Linked DNA regions of Schizosaccharomyces pombe. The protein of the gene in region 1 interacts with the protein of each later gene in a pairwise test. Each region holds a gene or a part of one and is shown on either strand. Other genes may lie near its edges. The genes, in order: rhs1 and dri1.

Region 1 (7,814 bases):
GAGCTATTAAGCATAATTGTCAAAAATTCAGTTGAAAGGTCCTCCTCCTCGTCTGTAGGGTCGGCTAACAACTTGTCGTCAAATACTGACCATGAGAAAGAACGAACTTCAGTACTTAATTGAACTGGTCTTGTAAGGGTAGAAGCACAGATAACCCTCTCTAAATCTTCATCCCAAACAGCAGTTGGTAATTTAACAGTTTTTAAAGCGGCAAACAAAGCTGCCCATGCATAATCGAAGGCACTTCCATCATAATTTAAACAAATAATATCAGCATACAATACCCAGGCTGCTTTTTTTTCAAAAATGCATAGGGACTGTAAATTAATCAAGTTAGATCTGTATAAGTTGTTAGTAAAAGTAACTAAATATTCTAAATGATAGTTTAACAATAAATGAAACGTATGGTAGAAAATTAGAAAAATTCCAATAATTTGATACATACTGTTGCAAAGTCTGATGCAATTCCTGCGAGACAACTTGCGCCAAGTCAGAAGGAGGGCCAGGTTTAAATTTGCTACTGCAAAGAGGTGATAATTCAAGATTGGGAACAATCCAACCTTCATTGGGAGAGTTTTCAAAAGGTTCAGCAATTTCTGCTTTTATTCCACACACAAAGACATTTTCGCCAGCTCGAATGATAGCACTACCATTAGCAGTAGATATGCAATTATCATTAATTACAATTTCTCTGAATTCTGATACAGACCGCCCATCTGATCGAACATCCTGATTAAGAAGATGTGATAAATACTGCTCAGGCGTGATTTTCTTAAAAATTCTATCCAGTAAAATGTTAGTACTGTAACAAAGAAAAACAAAGTGAAAAGGAAACAGAGCACTAAAAAAGATAGAATAAGAAATCAAAGAGCAACTTACGAAGGTGTAAATGAAAGCTGTTTTACCCCCGAAACAGTTTTCATGATGTGAAAAGAATGTAGTGTTTCAATAACGAAGCTAAATGATATAGTAACGTAGAAAGACCAAATAACTGAAGAACGATACTGAAAAATATATAAAATGAATATGAATCACAAGAATTCGATATATGTGCTGAATTTTGTCTACAGGTTGAAATTATGAAATGGAGTAGAGGGATGAAATAGGTGTACGAAGTAAAGTATGAAAAACTTATATGGTAAATAAAAGGTTTGTGAGGTCCTTAAAATGTTTAAATTCCTTGGTTTTTTTTTAATTTATTGAAGGTATATTCGGTGCAAATTTCAATTAAGGATTGATAATTCATTTGAATTTTAGCTACAAAATCCCAATTCGTTTAAACGATTTTGAAAAAAGAGATCACATAATTAACATTTAAAAATGCTAATTCGAAAAAAATTTATTTAAGGCCTTTTCTACTGATTTTTTTTTTTTTAAAAAAAGGTAAAATAACAAAATTTACAATGATCCATGGTTAAAGAAAATAAGGCATAATTAAACAATTAAAAGTCAGCAGAATACATACGGAATTTGGTAAGTAGCATAATATATAGCTCTTAAATTAAAGTAAGTTATTTGGGTGCATGTTTATATTTCAAAATTTGCACACTCTTAGTTTATCGGTTGTTAGACGAAGCAAAAGTCTTATATTAATAAAAAAAAGGAAAAGTTTTTTTCTATTAGATTATAGTTAAAGGAAATTAAAAAAAAAAGTCAGTAAACACACTTAATATCGCGCCAGGTACAATGACCTTTCCTTAACCTCTAGCCTACGAACACAACAGCCGGATGCTAAACCTTCTGAGGAAATGATGCTATGAATGATTCTGAGGAAGAATTAGAGCAGCAAGGAAGTCAAGAGGATATTTCCTCTTCTCAGGATACTTCGGATGAAAAAGAAATGCGAAAGCAAGATGCTCTATACGCACAGCTAATAGAGTATCGAGAAATTGTTTCCGAACTGAGAAGATCTGAGATGAAAAATTTGTGTATTCAACTTTATTGCAGTTATAAAGCTGGTATAACTCGTCGAAATGAATTGCAAAGCGATTTGGACGGTTATGAACGAAGGATTCCACCACGTCTACGTGCAGTATGGCCTACAATTCATTCCATCCCCGATGAATCATTTTTTGATGGAACCTCGGCTTCGAGGTTTCGCCAAGAGGCTGCATATTTGGCTGTGCGTTTAGCATCAAAAAAATTACACAAGTTGGGTAGAATGGCTTCTTCTGAGGAACTGCCTAATCCGGATGGCCTCCGATACTTGGTTGAAAGGTTACAGATAAAATTGGAACGCCTTTTTGATTCGGTTGATACTTTTCGACAAGAACAGGGAAGCAAAAGCATGCAATCACGTGTAAAGCCTATGGATTGGAAGATTCTTTACGGACTTGCTCGAGTCACAAACGGTTCGTTTTCCTCGTCGCAAAAAGCAGACGTTCTTGCATTGGGCAATGGTACAAGAGCTTGTCAATCATTATTCAAAGAGATGTCGTTACAACCTAGTATTGATATTGAAAAAGTTTCACACTCTAACCCAGAAATCTCGATAGAATTTGAGGATTAAGAAATTGGTGGGAAATTTAATAAGTATGAGTATTTTGAAAAAAAACACGCATCTGTGAACAGGTCAATCTGCGTAAGTCTCAACAATTAATGTTCCAGTAAACATCTTTTGGCTGATGTATATGTTTAATTATTTGTGTAACTCCCGCCGTATTTGCACATATAGTTTTTCTGCATCCGAATTTCTTTTCTTTTTTTTTAAGTTATTTTGTTTTTGCGTTGATCTAGGAAAAAGGTTCTACGCAACAAGAATATTGTTTCAACTTTATCATGCTTACAAGTTCATCCTACACTTTAAACTGGAAGTGGCAAGTATTTGCTGAGGTTAAATCTTTACTGTTATGATACTGTTTTCCAATATATCTAAGTTACACAGTTTTACTAAATTGTATAAGCTATTTAACAGTCTATGCAAAGCTGATGGTGTGTTCGTTTAAAATAAGGGCGGCACGTGGTACTGTAACTTGAAGTCCGATGTAGAAAAAATGTGGAGATTAAGTGATAACAAATACTACGGAAATAGTAAAAAAGTCATAGAGAAGCGAAGAACGAACAGTTGCCGGATGGCAACCCAGTTACAATAGACTATCGATTACAAAAGTTAGCGAAATATTGGGAGCGGCTCCTTGGTAAACGCTGTGAAAGGAACCTATCCAAAGCAAACCACAATTGGCAGGAAATTTTTTTTGAAGTAAACAACGTTTGGTTAAAACTTTGAAAATAGGCCAATTTCAAAAAAACAACGAGTTGTCTTTATGTCGTTTGTAGATGGAGTCAACAGTTGGTTTTCGGCCGCTTCTTATTGGGATGGGCTCGGTCCAACAAATGTTGTTCAGCCAGAGGACGATTTGGCTTTTGTAAGTCAATTTGAAGAAGTTGAATCGGCTTATGACAATCTCGTAAAAAATGGTATGATTGCACCTCGTCGAAAAAATAGTTTTGCCTCCTCAGTGAACAACCCCTTTTCGACGAGTGCATTGAGCGAAGCCTTAAATGGCAGTGTTTCAATGAGTCATGTTCCCAGCTCTGGTTTGTTAAAAAGCACACTTTCGAGCACCCCTACTGCAGGCTCTAATCTGCTGGGTACGTCTCCTGCTGAACCGGCAAGTGGTTTGGTCGGTTCTAGTGGTTTTGGTTCCAGCATGCTCGGAAGCTCGTTACCAGGTAATGCTACTTCCAATTTCGGTTCACAAGCTAGTACCTCATTACTACATCCCAGGAGATCCACAACGTCTTTGCTCTCTAGTAGTGCTCATCATTCACGTTCTTCGTATTATGATCTTGCTACTCCGACACGCTCCTCCTTTTCTTACAATACTGTCGGTGCTGCTAGTTTACCATCTGGTGGGCTTTCTAATCTCTCCTCTTCATTGCGTTCTTCTTCAAAATCGGCTGGGTTTTCGTTGTTTGAATCTGCTTCAAATAGCTTTACGCCCTCTTCTTTCATAGAGTCCGCTAACATGGAATCTTTATCGATTCCTTCTCGTCGTCGACCTTCATCGATAGCTCCGATCGGTACGCGTCCTTCTCGTAAAGAGATCGCATTCAGTAATAGTTCTACTCCTACTGACCAAACGCTGAGGCCTCCAAATCCACCGGCTGCCAATGGAAATGCCACACCAGTTACAGCAGTGAACAATGTTTCTGCTGTTGCTGATTCTCCGCAGTCCACTGGCTCTTCTGTTTCTTCTTCACTACCAACACTAAGTTTGGACTTCAAGCAAGAATACAGCGGGAACAATCATGATATGTCTGGATTGTCTTCCTCTCTATCTAAATCTCATAACTCAACTTCTGCTTTAAGTTCTCAGATTTGGTCTTCTCCCTGTGCCAGTACTCTTGGAGGTGTCAACGTGTGGTAATTGCTACATTTTCTTGATGCGGAACTTTCTTGGACACGGAATAGTATTTTATTTATAGGTTGAGCTTTGAAGGTTGTGATCTATTACTTTATAATTTTAATTCTTTTGCATTTGTGGGCATTCTGTTGTTTTAAAGCGCTCATTGGAAACTTATTCGAATAAGATAAGGAAATCTAATATTGGTGCTGATGATTTCTATCCTAATATTGTGAGCATAAGATATTTCTTTATTTTCTAAAAATGGAAAACAGAAAAATTGTAACTTTTTTGTTAAATAAGTTGCCGGCAATTTTTTAATTCGCTTTCACTTTTATGTTTTTTAAAAGTGTTTCACGAATTGTCGACGTTGCTTAAAGGTATGGTTTTTTTTCCTAAGAACTTTTGAGTGTGGGAAGGGTTTTTGCTTGGTTGAATAGTTTGTTTTGTGAGAAGGTTCTGGATTGAAGAAAATGTCAAGTTACTTGACTATTACTTTCGGCACATAGGTTTATGGTGATAAATCTTTGCATTTTCTTGACAAAAGAGAGGACAGTGGTTAAAAATGGGAGAGTTAGATATTTCTATTGGTATTTAGTTTGAACTATCAAAGTTAGGGGATTCTTATCGTACATGGGTATACTACTCTTGAGTGCATCGCATGCTTCTTGTCACAGCAAACGGCATGGTCAATCGCATTTGAGTCTAGGTTGTTGGTTTTTATGATATTACGTCTGTGCAGAAGTTTTGTCTTTCACAGGCCATCGTGCTCTTTATCTGGATTTATTTCAGGGGGGTGAATCAACAGCATAAAGATGTAAATATTTTTTTAAAATTTTAAGTAGCCAAATTTCAAAATCAATTTTATTTTACTTGATAAACTAGATTTGGTTAGAAATTATTTTTTTTATTAATAATTTATAGTATTTAATTCACATATATAAAGCAAACCTGGACTTCATTGTACTCTTTCATGTTAATTAGTGATGATTTAAGTTAATGAATAGTAACATTTATTGGCCGTTATTTCGCTCGCATAAAGTTGGTACAAATTACTACCGATTCGGAAGCGTTGTTCGCTATATGTGAGAAATTTAAAAGGTGAACATTATATAAAGAAAATTAGAATACAAATAATAGATATGGTGAAGATTCTTAAAAAAAAAAAATTAAGAGTAGTCAGTAATCGTGAATGTAGTAATGCTAGTTAATTGACATTCTAGGAGGTAAAAAAAAAAGTATCCGTCTCCCATACATCCGTAACTAAATTACACGAGATAGCAAATCTATAGACAATTTGGAAATTGATTAGGTTCGCCTCTATTGCTTAACCGCGATAGGCACTTAACCTTGTTCAATTAATATTTTTAGAATATGTCTGATAGTAAACTCGAGAGAGACAACATTATTCGAACATTGTAAAAAACTTCCAAATTTATACTAATAAACCTTACTTAGTTAAATATCAAGCCAGAAAACCCATGACTCTTGAAATTCTTTAGTTGGTTTTAGCTAAATTAATGAAACACAAATTTAATTAAAAAACATAAATAAATCAATTTTATACTCGATTACTTCTACTTCAAGTATCAGGTTACACACATCGAACGCAATGGCAATCATTTCAAAACAGCTTTGTAGATTTTAAAAGATTAAGTAGAAAGTCTTGCGACTTCTAATCATATAAATCCATACCTCTTAATTATGCAATTTCCAATGGTAATATATATTCTAATATGCAGTTAGCTTCCTACTCCTAAAAGCGCTTTGGACCCTTATGTATTTCTTTAACCGATGTTAATAATACATTGGCAATATTTAATAGCAGATGATCAAAAAGGATTCTGCATTTATAAGTTAATCCATGATACATACAGACAACAGTCTTTTCTAAAACGGAATAATGGGGCGCAACCATTACTTCACTGCTTCTAGCTTATTTCTCAAAACACAACCCAATCTCTGTCCAATCTAATTATGTTAATAAATTTCGTAATTAGTAAAAAACCAATTGACAGGATGCTTCCAATTATTTAGACAGATAATAATTTTTTGAAACAATAAATTTAATTAATAACGAAACACACTCACTGCCTCTGTTTACCTAGCTTGTTAGCGGCTTTTTAAAACAATATACTGTGGTAAAGATTTTAATGACCTATATATAATCTTATTAGATATTCTTATCACAAAAAGTAACTATTATCCTTCTAGTAATATAATGAAACAACTACAATCAAACAAAAAACAGCCAGCTGGATATATTTTTTTAATGAAAATATAAAGAATGATTTTTTTTAATCTATAATTATTTAAATTTTGTGAGCATTATCTTTCGTACTACAAGACCAATTTGTTAGTAACAAAAAAAATCTGGGATACAATAGCTTACATAGCGCGAAAAGAACGTAATGCAATTTTGTTTTAGGATTTTAATATTGTATATATCGTTAAGCATAGATAACAATTACTTGGTTACTACGTTAATATCTCTGAAGGAAAATGTTTTTTTGCATATTTTTACTCTAACCTTTCTCTTCAAAGCTTTCCTTTTAAAAATGGCGAAACGATCAGTGGAAGAGTTAAAAAGATCGGCGGATGAAGAAGCTTCTGTTAAGCGAAAGGAGAAGAAATCAAAGCATGAGCATAAGAAGCATAAAAAAGATAAGCCCTCTGCCGACAAGGATAGAATTTCAAAAAAGGATAAAAAGAAATCAAAGAAAGGAAAATCAAAAACTAAAGAAGAATCGATAGAAATCAATGCGGAAGAGGGAGCAAAAATCGCACAACCCGCGATCGGCTCAGCTAACGCTTCTAATCATAATGATGAAGAAGCGTATGACCGTTACATTAAGAAGCATAATATTTCTTTTGCGGATCCTAAATCCTCTGAAAATTTACTTCCAATTCTTCAGTTCGATGAACTAGACGTTTCAGCTAAGTTACGCGAGGGTTTAAAGAATTATAAGGAACCTACGCCTATTCAAGCTGCTACTTGGCCTTATTTACTAGCTGGGAGAGACGTGGTAGGAATTGCTGAAACCGGTTCTGGTAAGACTGTTGCATTCGGAATTCCTGCTTTGCAATACCTCAATGGTTTGTCAGATAACAAGTCTGTCCCTCGTGTTTTGGTAGTTAGTCCTACTCGAGAATTAGCCATTCAAACGTATGAAAACCTCAATAGTCTTATTCAAGGTACCAACTTAAAAGCTGTGGTTGTTTATGGCGGCGCCCCTAAATCGGAGCAAGCGAGGGCTGCCAAGAACGCCAGTGTCATTATTGGTACCCCTGGTCGTTTGTTGGATCTGATTAACGATGGCTCGATTGATTGTTCTCAAGTTGGTTACCTTGTTTTAGATGAGGCAGATCGTATGCTTGACACTGGATTCGAACAAGATATCCGTAACATCATCAGCCATACCCCAGATCCCACTCGTAATGGATCCAGACAAACTGTCTTTTTCAGTG
Region 2 (11,447 bases), on another chromosome or scaffold:
GCTTTTGAGATTGCTTTCCAACTCATCAACTGCATCCTTCAATCCCTGAGCATCGAATGATCTAACCAACATAGTTTTTTCAAGACATGGAAGAGGGAGTGCAGCCGGATTGAAAGTACCTAAAGTATCAATCCACATAATTCTATCAAACCTAGAGTAATAACTTTTTAGAATCCAGTAAAGCATCAAGTTTGCAGAATTTCCACTAAATTGAGTAACCTGATTCATAATGTCAGAAAATATATAAGCTGCTTTAAGAATTTGCTTGGTATGCTTTAAACTTTCGATAGAATTGTTTTTTCCAACGATATTGATGATCAATGAAATTGATTTTTGCAATCATCCCCTGGTTATGCTAATGGCATTCTAAAAGAGATAAACACCCAAATGCGTTGAAGGAAAAGATACGTACAATCGTCAAAAATTTCCGGAATGTTCAACAAGTATTTAACTAATCATGAGTGTGTGTTGAATCTTATCTCATGTTTTTTGTTGAACTATCTACATGGATTATATTTAATTAGGGTATGGATTAAAGAAGCAGAAAGGTCGTCAACATTCGAGTACAGTATATAGCCACACTGGTGTGGATTTGTATATATTGAGAATAACCCTTTAAGAATAAAAAGAAAAAATAGAAAAGCATCAACTAACTGTTTTTAAATGCTACATATGCGAATTTAATTCTCTCTAATAATGCCATGTATTACAAGTAACCTCATGTATCGATTGATTTAATCATTATCGTTACAAAATTTTTATAAATTATATAATAAAAAAAAGGAATATTAACAATACATTATTTACCGAAGAACCCTATAAATTTGAACAGCACTGACAACTGTAAGAGGTAAACAACCATTTTTTCAAACGTTCAATGAGTGTGACACTCCAAAACAAATGAATCCCCAAATCCCAAATATGGGAGAGCTCTATACGATTGACTGCTGTTTTTTCCCCGAAAATTTCTTCAAGGTCAAAAATTAAATAGCACTAAATAGAAGAAAAAAACCCACCAAAGAAAATTATGAACTAATTTTGACCACACCTGTAATTCAATGTTTATGCAAAACCTTCATAAGAAAACCCAATACAACTTTTAAATTTTTGTTCCAATAGAGTTGCTTTTCAAAATGCTGCCTTTAAATAATAACAATTGTTTCATCAAATTTGCTCCTTCAAGACATAAGTGATTATTTTTATCGCACTAATCACTTGCATTTTTAGCTATAGTGTTTACCAAATATCCTTTGTACTACGGGACCTATCCATTAAATATAATTGTCCAACTTTACACGTAAGCATTGAAATCCGAAGGCAAGGATGCAGGAATCTGCATATTAGAGTAATGCGGAGCATTGCAACGGAGACAATTACTGCGGCGACGAAAATTAGTAAATCCACACTCACATAACCAATCGCCTTGATCAGTAGTAACGGAAGGACGTGATACTTCTTTAAAGCGTCCATGATCATCGAACCTAGATACATTACCACCATTTTGTCCCCCAAAATTTTGACCATGATTAGCCGTTACTGAATTTATAGAAAGTTGTGAGTAAGGATACACCGAATGATTAGGAGGACTTGTACTCATAACAGGGGGGATGTGAGAATATGAATTATGACTATACGAACCATTCACCGGCCCAGATGCATGATCTGCTACGACTGCAGCTGTAGCACGGCTAGCCCCACAGCGTAAGCAGCAAACATTTTTTGCGAAATTGTGATATCCACAACCCTCAGAGCCACATTTCCAATCACCAGCACGAAAAGGGACATTACCACCGAATGAGCGTGAAGAATGATGATGATTTACAGCATTATTGCCATTCTGATGCTGAAGATCACTTTGCATGGTATTTTCGTTAGAATGATGGACAGATCCACCATAGTTGGCAATAAAGTGAGAGGAGCCGTTGCCGTATGAATTTCCATAAGGGAAATCAGGTGAAAAAGTATTGCTACCAGTAGCAGCTGAAACATGAGTAGGACCAGGAAATGAGCATCGGAAACAAGACGTTCGACGTTGAAAATTGCTGAAACCGCACATTGGGCAATTCCAATCCCCAGGGCGTGGGCGATTCTTACTAGAAGGAAAAGGAATTAGAATGTCTGAAGCTTTATCTAAAACCTTTGTACTACTGGGAATAATTTCCAGCATCCGATCTCCTAAGCAATATCCATTAAAGGCAAGAGCATCGGCAGCATCTTCATGACTAGCAAATAGCACAAAACCTGTACCCGTAGATTTGTAAGGTTCGGGAGTCTTTAAAGTCCATAAAGCTACGGGATGAACCCCATGATTAGTAAACCAACTTTCCAACTCGAGCTGTGTTACATCGTTGGTCAAACCTGCAACGTGTACAATTTTTGACCGTTCTGCATAAAAGCTTCGTGCGTCTGCTTGACAGTTAATGGGTTGTGTAAGCACCGAAGGAAGAGAATGACCTCGAGAATCTTTCTCTGCTTTACGAAGCAATAAGGTGGTAGCATTTGCAAGGCGCCAGCATTGAGTAAGACCTTTGGTTATGTAAGGAGCATCTGAAGGTGATAATTCAATTGCTTTTGACTCTGTAATAGGTGGTAAAGAGTCGACATCTAATTTACCAAAAATATGAGAAAGCGTTATTGTGTATGGTGGTACTGCACCCATGCGAATCTGCCACTTGGCGTATTCGCTTGATAAATCAAACAAGCGAGGATGGCGCATGTAGGAAGGTAGCGTAATTCCCTGATCCCGTGCTTCTTTTGGCAATAATACACGAAGCTCTCTTCCATTCATAACAACAAATGTAAAAGGTTTTCCTTGGAAGTTTAATCGTTCTTGGATTGAATTATCCAATGTGAAGATAGCTTCAGTTAAGGAACTAGCAGAACCACAAATTCCATGACGAGAACTATCTTCACGAATACTACACGATTCACAGTGTTGTTTTTCCAAAGTTTTTCCATCTAATATAACCCAGCATATTTCATGAATTTCACATGGCGCCCGGCCAATGCTAATGCCGTGATCGTCAAGATTTGTTTCAAAGTGCAAAACAACCAAGTCGCCTACCGATTCTGGCAGAGGCATTGTTGGACTTGGTAGCTTTGACATGATATTGCAAAGCTACAAACCCGTTGGTGTTTTTCTTTGTCACTCACAAGTACAGTCACAAAAGTAACAAATCTAGATTTAGAATCCACCTAAGCGGAATTATTCAAAGGAGAAAAATCTTTTATGAACAATAATATGTACAACTGATGTTACTGTCGAATCGTGTATTGTTGTGGGATTCTTTTGCATGCAAAGCAGAAAATTTAGCAATACTTTCGAAACACAATGAAAATGAAAATTTTACGATAAATTATTATACCATAATTTAGCGCATCAAGCATTTGGTATTCTTATGTCAGCAATACTACACTACGTTGAGTATCACTATATGTCACATGTTCTAATTATATATCGTACCATGTATAATACGATATGGAGATTGATCTTAATGATAATCTATTAAGATCAATATTATCTGAATACTATAAATAGAGCTACTGCTGAACCTCGTTCCTCAGTTCAGTTATGAGCTATATTAGTGATAGTTAACATTATAACCCAGTTAATACAATACCTATACTCAGTTGCTACTTATACAACCTGTGTATTGTAATATAATAGATCACAAGGAAAACTCACCGCAGTTCTACGTATCCTTAAATCAGATACCAAACTGCGTAGCTTACATCTTATGAACAATACCGGGGTTTTTTGTAACCACGTAAACAATCAAAGAACTGTTGTTTATTTTGACAATTGTATCAGGAAGTCAAGGGAAAAGTTATACTGAAAAGCCATCCATTGAAAAGTATTTGTACATCTTGCTACATAAAAAAGCTGATAGTAATTTACTTACACAACTGATAATTTACTAAATTACCGTCATTTCAATTAGAGTTGGTGTAATGTAGCAAAACATAAATTTATCAGCAATAACTCTACAATCGATAAAATGCGACCAAGTTATAGCTTAAAATTGATACAACGAATTTTATACGGACAAATAAAGGGTTAAAATTTACGTTAAGGATTTATTAAATGCCTTCCGTACAACCTAAATGAAGACTAAGAGTAATATAACGCAACGTTAATCAGCTTAGCGATTCTAAATGTGCTCTTTATTATTTGATGTGAACTGCAATAGTAAAAATCTTTGTCACCGTTAGCCTAATCGTAGATTGTATTAATCAAAGTAGCACAAAGCAAATTTTTCAAAACCTTTGAAAAATATTCAAATTCAGCTTTGTGTAGAATACACACTAGACTACAACGATGGCAGGAATAGAATCAAAGCAAAGAAGAGCTCAGAAAAAGGCAGCTAAAGCTGCTATGAAGGAAAAGAAAAACAAGGAAAGCAATGAATCTTCTACTTCTGTTGAGGCATTAAATGAGAAAGAAATGATCAATACCATTAAATCTCCTATTATTGAAACAGCTGATACAGCTGATCAAGAGAACGAATCTGAGGGATCAGATGAAGTTGAACTTTCTGATCTTGAAGGAATTGAGTTGGAAGAAGACGCTGATTTGATTAGAAAAAGAAAATTAGCTATAAATAACACTGTTGCACTAGAGAACATCTATGAACGAATTAAATATCCTGATGATATTTCGTTTGTTGAAAACCAAGCTGTTACTACTAAGGAGCCTATAATAATTGAAAATGTTGAGGATGATCTTGCCCGTGAACTGGCCTTTTATAAACAAGGTGTGAGCTCTGTAAAGGCGGCTTTTGCCAAACTTCGTGAGGCGAATGTTCTAATTTCCCGACCTCATGACTATTTTGCGGAAATGTTAAAGTCCGATGACCACATGGAGAAAGTGCGTCAAGAGTTGATTAAAGAAGCAACCGCTAAAAAACTATCCCAGCAAGCTAAGAAACAACGAGAACTCAAGAAGTTTGGTAAACAAGTTCAGCTTGCTAAACAAGAAGAGCGTCAACGGGAAAAAAAGGAAACCCTCGAAAAAATTAACCTTCTCAAACGAAAGCATACTGGAGGAGATCTTACCACTGAAGATGACTTTGATATTGCTCTTTCATCAGCCTCTGCCGATACATTTAAAAAAGGTAGCCGTAGTACGAAATCACGGCCACAGCCTAATCCGAAGCGACAAAAGAAAAATGAAAAGTATGGATTTGGTGGTCCAAAGCATCGCAGCAAAAGCAATGATCTCGACAGTCTTGCTGCTACCGAATTTGGGAGAAAAGGTCTTAAAAACATTAAATCTAAAAAACGTCCCGGTAAGGCGCGACGTGAAAAGGCTAGAAAATAATTGGGGTTTATAAGGGGTCTATAAATAACTATATCTTAGGTTTAATATCATTATTTCTTCTTTACAATAGGTATGTTTCGTACTTCAGTCGAGTTTGAAGGCGATATATTATAAGAAGAGCAACAAGAATTTTGCAAAAAAAATGAACAGTTATAAATATTAAATTATGTAATATACAATTAGAGCCGATCACACAATAAATTCTAAAAAAATATCAAATTCTTGCACCGTTTTACCCAAATCGGTTAAATTTGTTTTACTAAATTTCTAGATTACATTGAGGAACGGCTATGGAAATTAGATTCGAATGAAGAACTTGCAAGTTTCAATAAATTGCATAGTTCCACCCAGGTCTAAGCAGTTAGAAATAATAAATATCTCATGAATACTTACCGTTTCAAAAAAATTTGAATCCTTAAGATCCTCATATATGCTTTCAACAATATTTTTTCCTTGCTCGCTAGTGTTAGAAGCTTCACGAAATTTGAGTTCAACTTGTATATGTCGACTAACTTTATATTCCCAATGATATATGCTGTGTGCAATTCTAGCACGATTAAAGCAACTGTTTCCTAGCATCCACGCTTCTTTAGTGATCGGTTCAAAACTGTCTAGCTCCTTTAGAAAGTTAGTAGCCCGCTAGTGTTGAGAAAATCAATTCATACTTTATAGTTATGCTCATTATAAGGCATTCCTTTAAAATAAACAATTTGCGTTGACATTCTGGTGTGAATATTACATGCATCACAGCCATAAGTAGCATCGATCTTGGCACTTTTCATATTTGGTACAGTCTTGATTAGTTTAATGAACTCTGATTGCCAAATGCTTGAGATGATATTCGAATCAACTGATGAATATAACTGTTTACGAATAGTTCGACGGCTAAACAAATAATGATCAGATATATCAGAAGCGTCTATTGGATCAATAGCCTGCTGAACTATAAACATCATAAAGTTTCGAAAGTGTGCTTTTAAACCTTGATGACTTGTCATTGAAAACTCTGCAGGAAGTAAACTTCGAGCATTCATCATTACCTCTGTATCCTCATCATCCACTATAAAATCGTCTTCTTCTGATTCATTAGCCAATTCAGATTTGGTAATCAATGTATCAGATTTTTCGGAAGTCAGAGATTCAAGTTTGCTATAACTTCGATCTTAATTATTCGTTAATAAAAGAACAAAAAAATTACTTACTTCTTAAACTATGTAGTTTTTCATAAAATGCCTTCTTCGAAGGATTTCGAAATCTTGGCACTTTTTCTTCGAAACCTTCATCAATAGGGTCCAAATCTTGAACCTCTTGTTCTAATTCATTTAAATTCTCCATTTCTTCTGTTGATCTAATTATGGGCTTCAACAAATCTTCAGGAGATGAACTTTCATCATCTTCAGAAGATGAGCTCAAAACTTTCCTTTTTCGTTTTATTCGAGAAAACTGTCTTGCAACGTTTTTTGAACCAGAATCGCTCTGTCGCTCGGTATCAGAATCGGAATATAGTATATTAGAAGACAGCTTCGTCTTTCTCGTAATCGTAACATTTTCTTCTCTTGGAATTCCAGTGTCGGAATCCTCCGAATCAATGACAAATCCTTTTCGTTTCTTTCGACTTCCCATGTTTTCTCCCTTTATTTTATCACTAGTGGGTAATTCTTCCAAGTTGGATTCACCTAAACTATCGTTGCCATAAGTAGATGACAGTGACCCGGTGATATCTTCAAGACATACAGGCGAATCTTCATGTGAATTAATCGCAACCTCATTTTTTGAGTCGTGCTTGTCTAAACAAAGAAACGGAACGTTGACGGTTTCGTGAATATCGGAGAAAGTAATAAGCGGTTTGCTGATTTGGTTCTCATAATTAACGCTTGAAGAATCTTTATCTAACTTTAACTTTTCGGCATTGCTTTCTTCTTTCTTTGGAGTATTATTATCAATAATTACCACCGGAACTAGTCTGTTCGTGTTATCACTAGGCTCACTTGACGAAGATGCTTGAGTTTGAGTGGTTCTAAAATTATCTCGAGAAGAAAATTGGGATTCTTTTAATTTTTTGTTCCCTCTACTGCGTGAATTTGAATTCGATTTCATAGCTCCTTTGTTCTTTTTAAGCACAACATTGCTCTTTCGCTTTACAAACCTAGTTATCGGATACTTTTGAACATCATTTCTCTGTACATTGTCTTGATTTGATACCATAAATTAGGGGAATGTTTTAAGTTGACAGATTTGTCGACTAATAGTTTCAGTAGTTTGTTATACGTGAAAAACCAATATAGTATACCAAAAAGTAGAAAAAATAGTAAAAAAAGCTTTTACGTTTTTTGGATGAATTATATTCAATTTTAGTAACCTTCGATTGACTCAAATATAACTTAGTTGTGTTTCAGACAACACTACGAGGTGCATGCCTGATGTGTTGATCCTACCATCAGCCACTATACCATGGTTTACCTGCAAACTGTGAATGAGTTCTTCACACAGTCAAAATCATTAACGGAGGCTTATCCAAAAACGGTATGGTGTTGATGATATCTTTGATAATCAAACTCTGACTTTTTTCATTTAGACCAAACTTAGTATCAAATATCGCACGAATGAGCAGAGTCAAAATTATTTAATCGCGAAAGCCTTTGAAAGTGCTTCTGGAATATGTCTAAAATATAGGACTGACAAGGCGGCTGAACTTGGCAGATTACTTCTAATTGCAAACAAACTTAGTTATGTCTCCACAGGTAACGAAATTCCTCCTGAACCAGGTATGTATTATTAGTATATCAATTGTTTTTGCATTGTTATAAAAAGAAGCGCTTGGAAGGAAGATGTTTTCCTTTAAAAGTAGTTATTAATGTAACTATGCTCTTCTAATTTTTACGTTTCGCTAACAGTCATGTTATATAGAACAAGAGGTAGTGGCTTCTCCGGTTACAGAGCAAAAGAAAGCGGAGCCTTCCGCTCCTCCTAAGGGTTCAAAGAAAAAAAAAAGGGGGAAGAAGAAATGAGTGTAGCACTTGGCGTGTTTTTTTTTTTCATTTTGTTCATTTAGTGTCACGTTAGATATCTTAGGATCGGATTAATTCTTTACTTTTATCTTACAATAGCAATTCTCTCGGTTTATCAATAAAGGTAAAAAGGATAATTTGCAGTGTAAGTCAGTCGTTCTGTACTTTCTTATTCGACCAACATGAATAATGGCCCCTTCTTTCTTAATATCATTTTTTATTTGCAAATGCTATACATAATCAAAAGGATGCATTCGCATTGGTATTACCGATGTGATTGGTTATAAAAGTATAACAAGCATGTGTATTCATTTACAGGTATTTCAAGTGCTAAAATATAATATTTCCTTTATGCACAGTTGGTAACATATTATTTAGTACAAAAATCTTTATTCGGTGAATTTCATTATTCATTCGCTAGGACAGATCGTTTAGACAAGGATGAAAAGTTTTACTGCATTAGCAAATAAGTAAAAAAAGTTGATGTTTCTGCTTTTAAAATATCGTTTGTTTACAGTTACCGATTGCACAAAAACTAGTTTACTACAGTGTGAACTTCATATTCAATATACAAGCAATTTTCCTTTTAAAGTTTGCTAGAGCAACTTTTTTAATATGGATATGTATAGACACAACTTCATTTTCACCTTAATAGTATCTTTATTTAAGTTTATCACATTTTGTTTACCATTTTGTTCATAAACCAATTTATGTAGGTTGAGAGAATTAGCATCATAGTTCAAAAATTCTTATTATGTTAATCTATGATTGATCTAAACAAAATTATTATCATCAATTATCTCCAAAGCTATTGAGTAAACGTTTTTGTTTAATTATGAGAAATATATTACTGCCTGCTTAATTTCCACCTTCCAGTGCTGTGGGCATTAACACCAAAAAATCGGCAACTCAACAATTATTTGAGCATTAGGAGTGCCTTTCTTTATTTATTATTGGGATACTCAGGGGCTTAATTTTTTATTTTTTAGCAACGGATTGGTTTTCTTTTGATCCTTTATTATTAGCCTACAAATATATTTGTTAAATTACAGCCTTTTTTTTACCTTACCTATGGGCTTACTGGAATTCTAACAGAAGCTAAAAGATACTTTCATTTTCTTTCAAAAGCATAATTGATTGCTTTATAGGTAATCTTGTTGGACAATCTGAAGTGTTTTCTATTCAGATTACTGTTTGCTACTACTATAAGTGTTCTCGTGTTCCTTCAATCACTGTTATTGATCCAAGATATTTGGACATTTGATGCTAAATCTTATTTACATGTAATTTTGTTTGTAGTAAGAAGTTGAAAACGTTCAGTTTTAACAATTTTTTTATGTTTAGGCATTTGGTACGAAAAGTTTTGTCCTTCCATTTATCTTTTTAATCCCCTCTTTATTTAACTTAAACACTTTCAGGGATTCTACATGCCTAACTCAACTGCCCAATATCCGGAAAAGGATTCATGGGAATTCTTAGTCAAATCTGGAATTGCTGGTGGTACAGCTGGATGCGTTGCAAAATCAGTAGTTGCCCCATTAGATAGAGTGAAAATCCTTTACCAAACCAATCACGCTTCTTATCGAGGGTATGCTTATTCACGGCATGGGCTTTATAAGGCTATCAAACACATTTACCACGTCTATGGCTTACACGGTCTTTATCAAGGCCACACTGCTACTTTATACAGAGTCTTCCCTTATGCGGGCATTAAATTTGTTGCATACGAACAAGTACGGCGTGTTTTAATTCGTGACCCTGAACATGAAACACATGCTCGGCGATTTTTATCAGGATCACTTGCCGGAACTTGCTCTGTTTTTTTTACATACCCGTTAGAGCTGATTCGTGTTCGTTTAGCCTACATAACCAATACAGGGAAGAATCCTACCCTAACTCAAGTTACAAAAGATATATTTCACGAACGTGATTTTTTGTGCAATAAGAAGTATCCTGGGTTATCCCGTTTGTCAAAAATCTGTAATTTTTATCGTGGATTTTCTGTTACGTTAACTGGAATCTTTCCATATGCTGGTATGTCGTTTCTTGCCTACGATCTTGCAACTGATTTTTTTCATAAACAAAAAATTGACGAATGGGTTTCTACAAAAAAGTCAGATAAAAAACTTAAAACTTGGCCCGAACTACTTTGTGGAGCATTTGCAGGAGTTTGTGGTCAAACGGTTTCTTACCCATTCGAAGTTTGTCGACGAAAAATGCAAATTGGTGGTATCAGAAAAAATAAATCATTTCTTAGACTTAAGCAGGTAGTACAAACTACTTACAAAGAAGCCGGTATGAGAGGTTTTTTCGTTGGACTTACCATAGGTTACATTAAGGTTATCCCAATGGTAAGCACTAGCTTTTTTGTTTACAATCACAGCAAAGCGCTTTTAGGGATAGATTGAGACTGCAGACATAGTTTTCTATGAAAAAAATTATCCCTTTTTTAAAAATTTATAAAAAAAGATCTACGGGATTATAGGTGTATGATATATTCATTAGTTGCAGATTGTTACATCGTGACCATGCAATGAAAGAGATGTATTTTATTAAAACGGAACAAGAAATAGCAACCCAAAGTCAAATAACACGTTTTTTCTAAGTCCACAACTCTGAATTGAATAATTTGCTATCATACTAGCAGCCAAAACTAGATGTGCAAATGGTTCAAAGGGAAAATGAAGTACTTAAAGATAGCTGCTAATAATTGTGTTAAATGAAAAAACAATTATTGAAATGAAAAGAAAGAGATGAAACAAAAGACAGGAACGGTGCATTCACCAAACAGCTCAAATATTCTGCAATAATACTTGCTAACATATAACACAACATTTAGTTGAAACCTCATCTTCGGTTTTACTGTTATTTACAGCGCTAGCTCTTTTAGCAGTTGAAGCTGGAACTTGGGCAGTCTGGACGGCCTGCTTATTCTGAAAACCTTTTTCTTCTGATTTGTTATAGCGACGGATCGTGCGAACCAAACTATAAAAAGCTTCTTCTACATTTAACCTTAGCTTCGCCGAAGTTTCAACATATAAACAATGCATGCTTTTTGCAAGTTGTTCGCCTTCAGCTCTTGAAACTACACGTTCAGCTTCAAGGTCGCATTTATTAGC

Evidence for each region.
Region 2: the proteins of rhs1 (region 1) and dri1 interact in a two-hybrid assay, tested with the Schizosaccharomyces pombe proteins (one large-scale study listed by BioGRID).

What each region holds. Positions count from the first base shown.
Region 1 is NC_003423.3:3,331,847-3,339,660, forward strand, and holds rhs1 (protein rhs1), read left to right. Parts: upstream 1-3,163; 5' UTR 3,164-3,263; coding exon 3,264-4,370; 3' UTR 4,371-5,303; downstream 5,304-7,814. Other genes in the region: exosome subunit Rrp43, read right to left, coding at 1-339, 446-781, 880-923; RNA polymerase I upstream activation factor complex subunit Acr1, read left to right, coding at 1,757-2,509; putative ATP-dependent RNA helicase Dbp3, read left to right, coding at 6,905-7,814.
Region 2 is NC_003424.3:2,008,614-2,020,060, forward strand, and holds dri1 (RNA-binding protein involved in heterochromatin assembly Dri1), read right to left. Parts: upstream 3,093-11,447; 5' UTR 3,083-3,092; coding exon 1,292-3,082; 3' UTR 732-1,291; downstream 1-731. Other genes in the region: rdl1 (RAD51D-like protein 1), read right to left, coding at 1-228; rRNA processing protein Ebp2, read left to right, coding at 4,319-5,320; SPOM_SPAC17H9.06C (uncharacterized protein), read right to left, coding at 5,593-5,673, 5,714-5,938, 5,986-6,482, 6,523-7,525; signal recognition particle subunit Srp21, read left to right, coding at 7,772-7,843, 7,896-8,085, 8,228-8,328; leu5 (coenzyme A transporter), read left to right, coding at 9,756-10,736; GTPase Ras1, read right to left, coding at 11,145-11,447. UniProt on the Schizosaccharomyces pombe protein: Mediates heterochromatin assembly by promoting RNAi-mediated heterochromatin silencing and histone deacetylation. Binds pericetromeric transcripts and recruits the RNA-induced transcriptional silencing (RITS) complex to heterochromatin.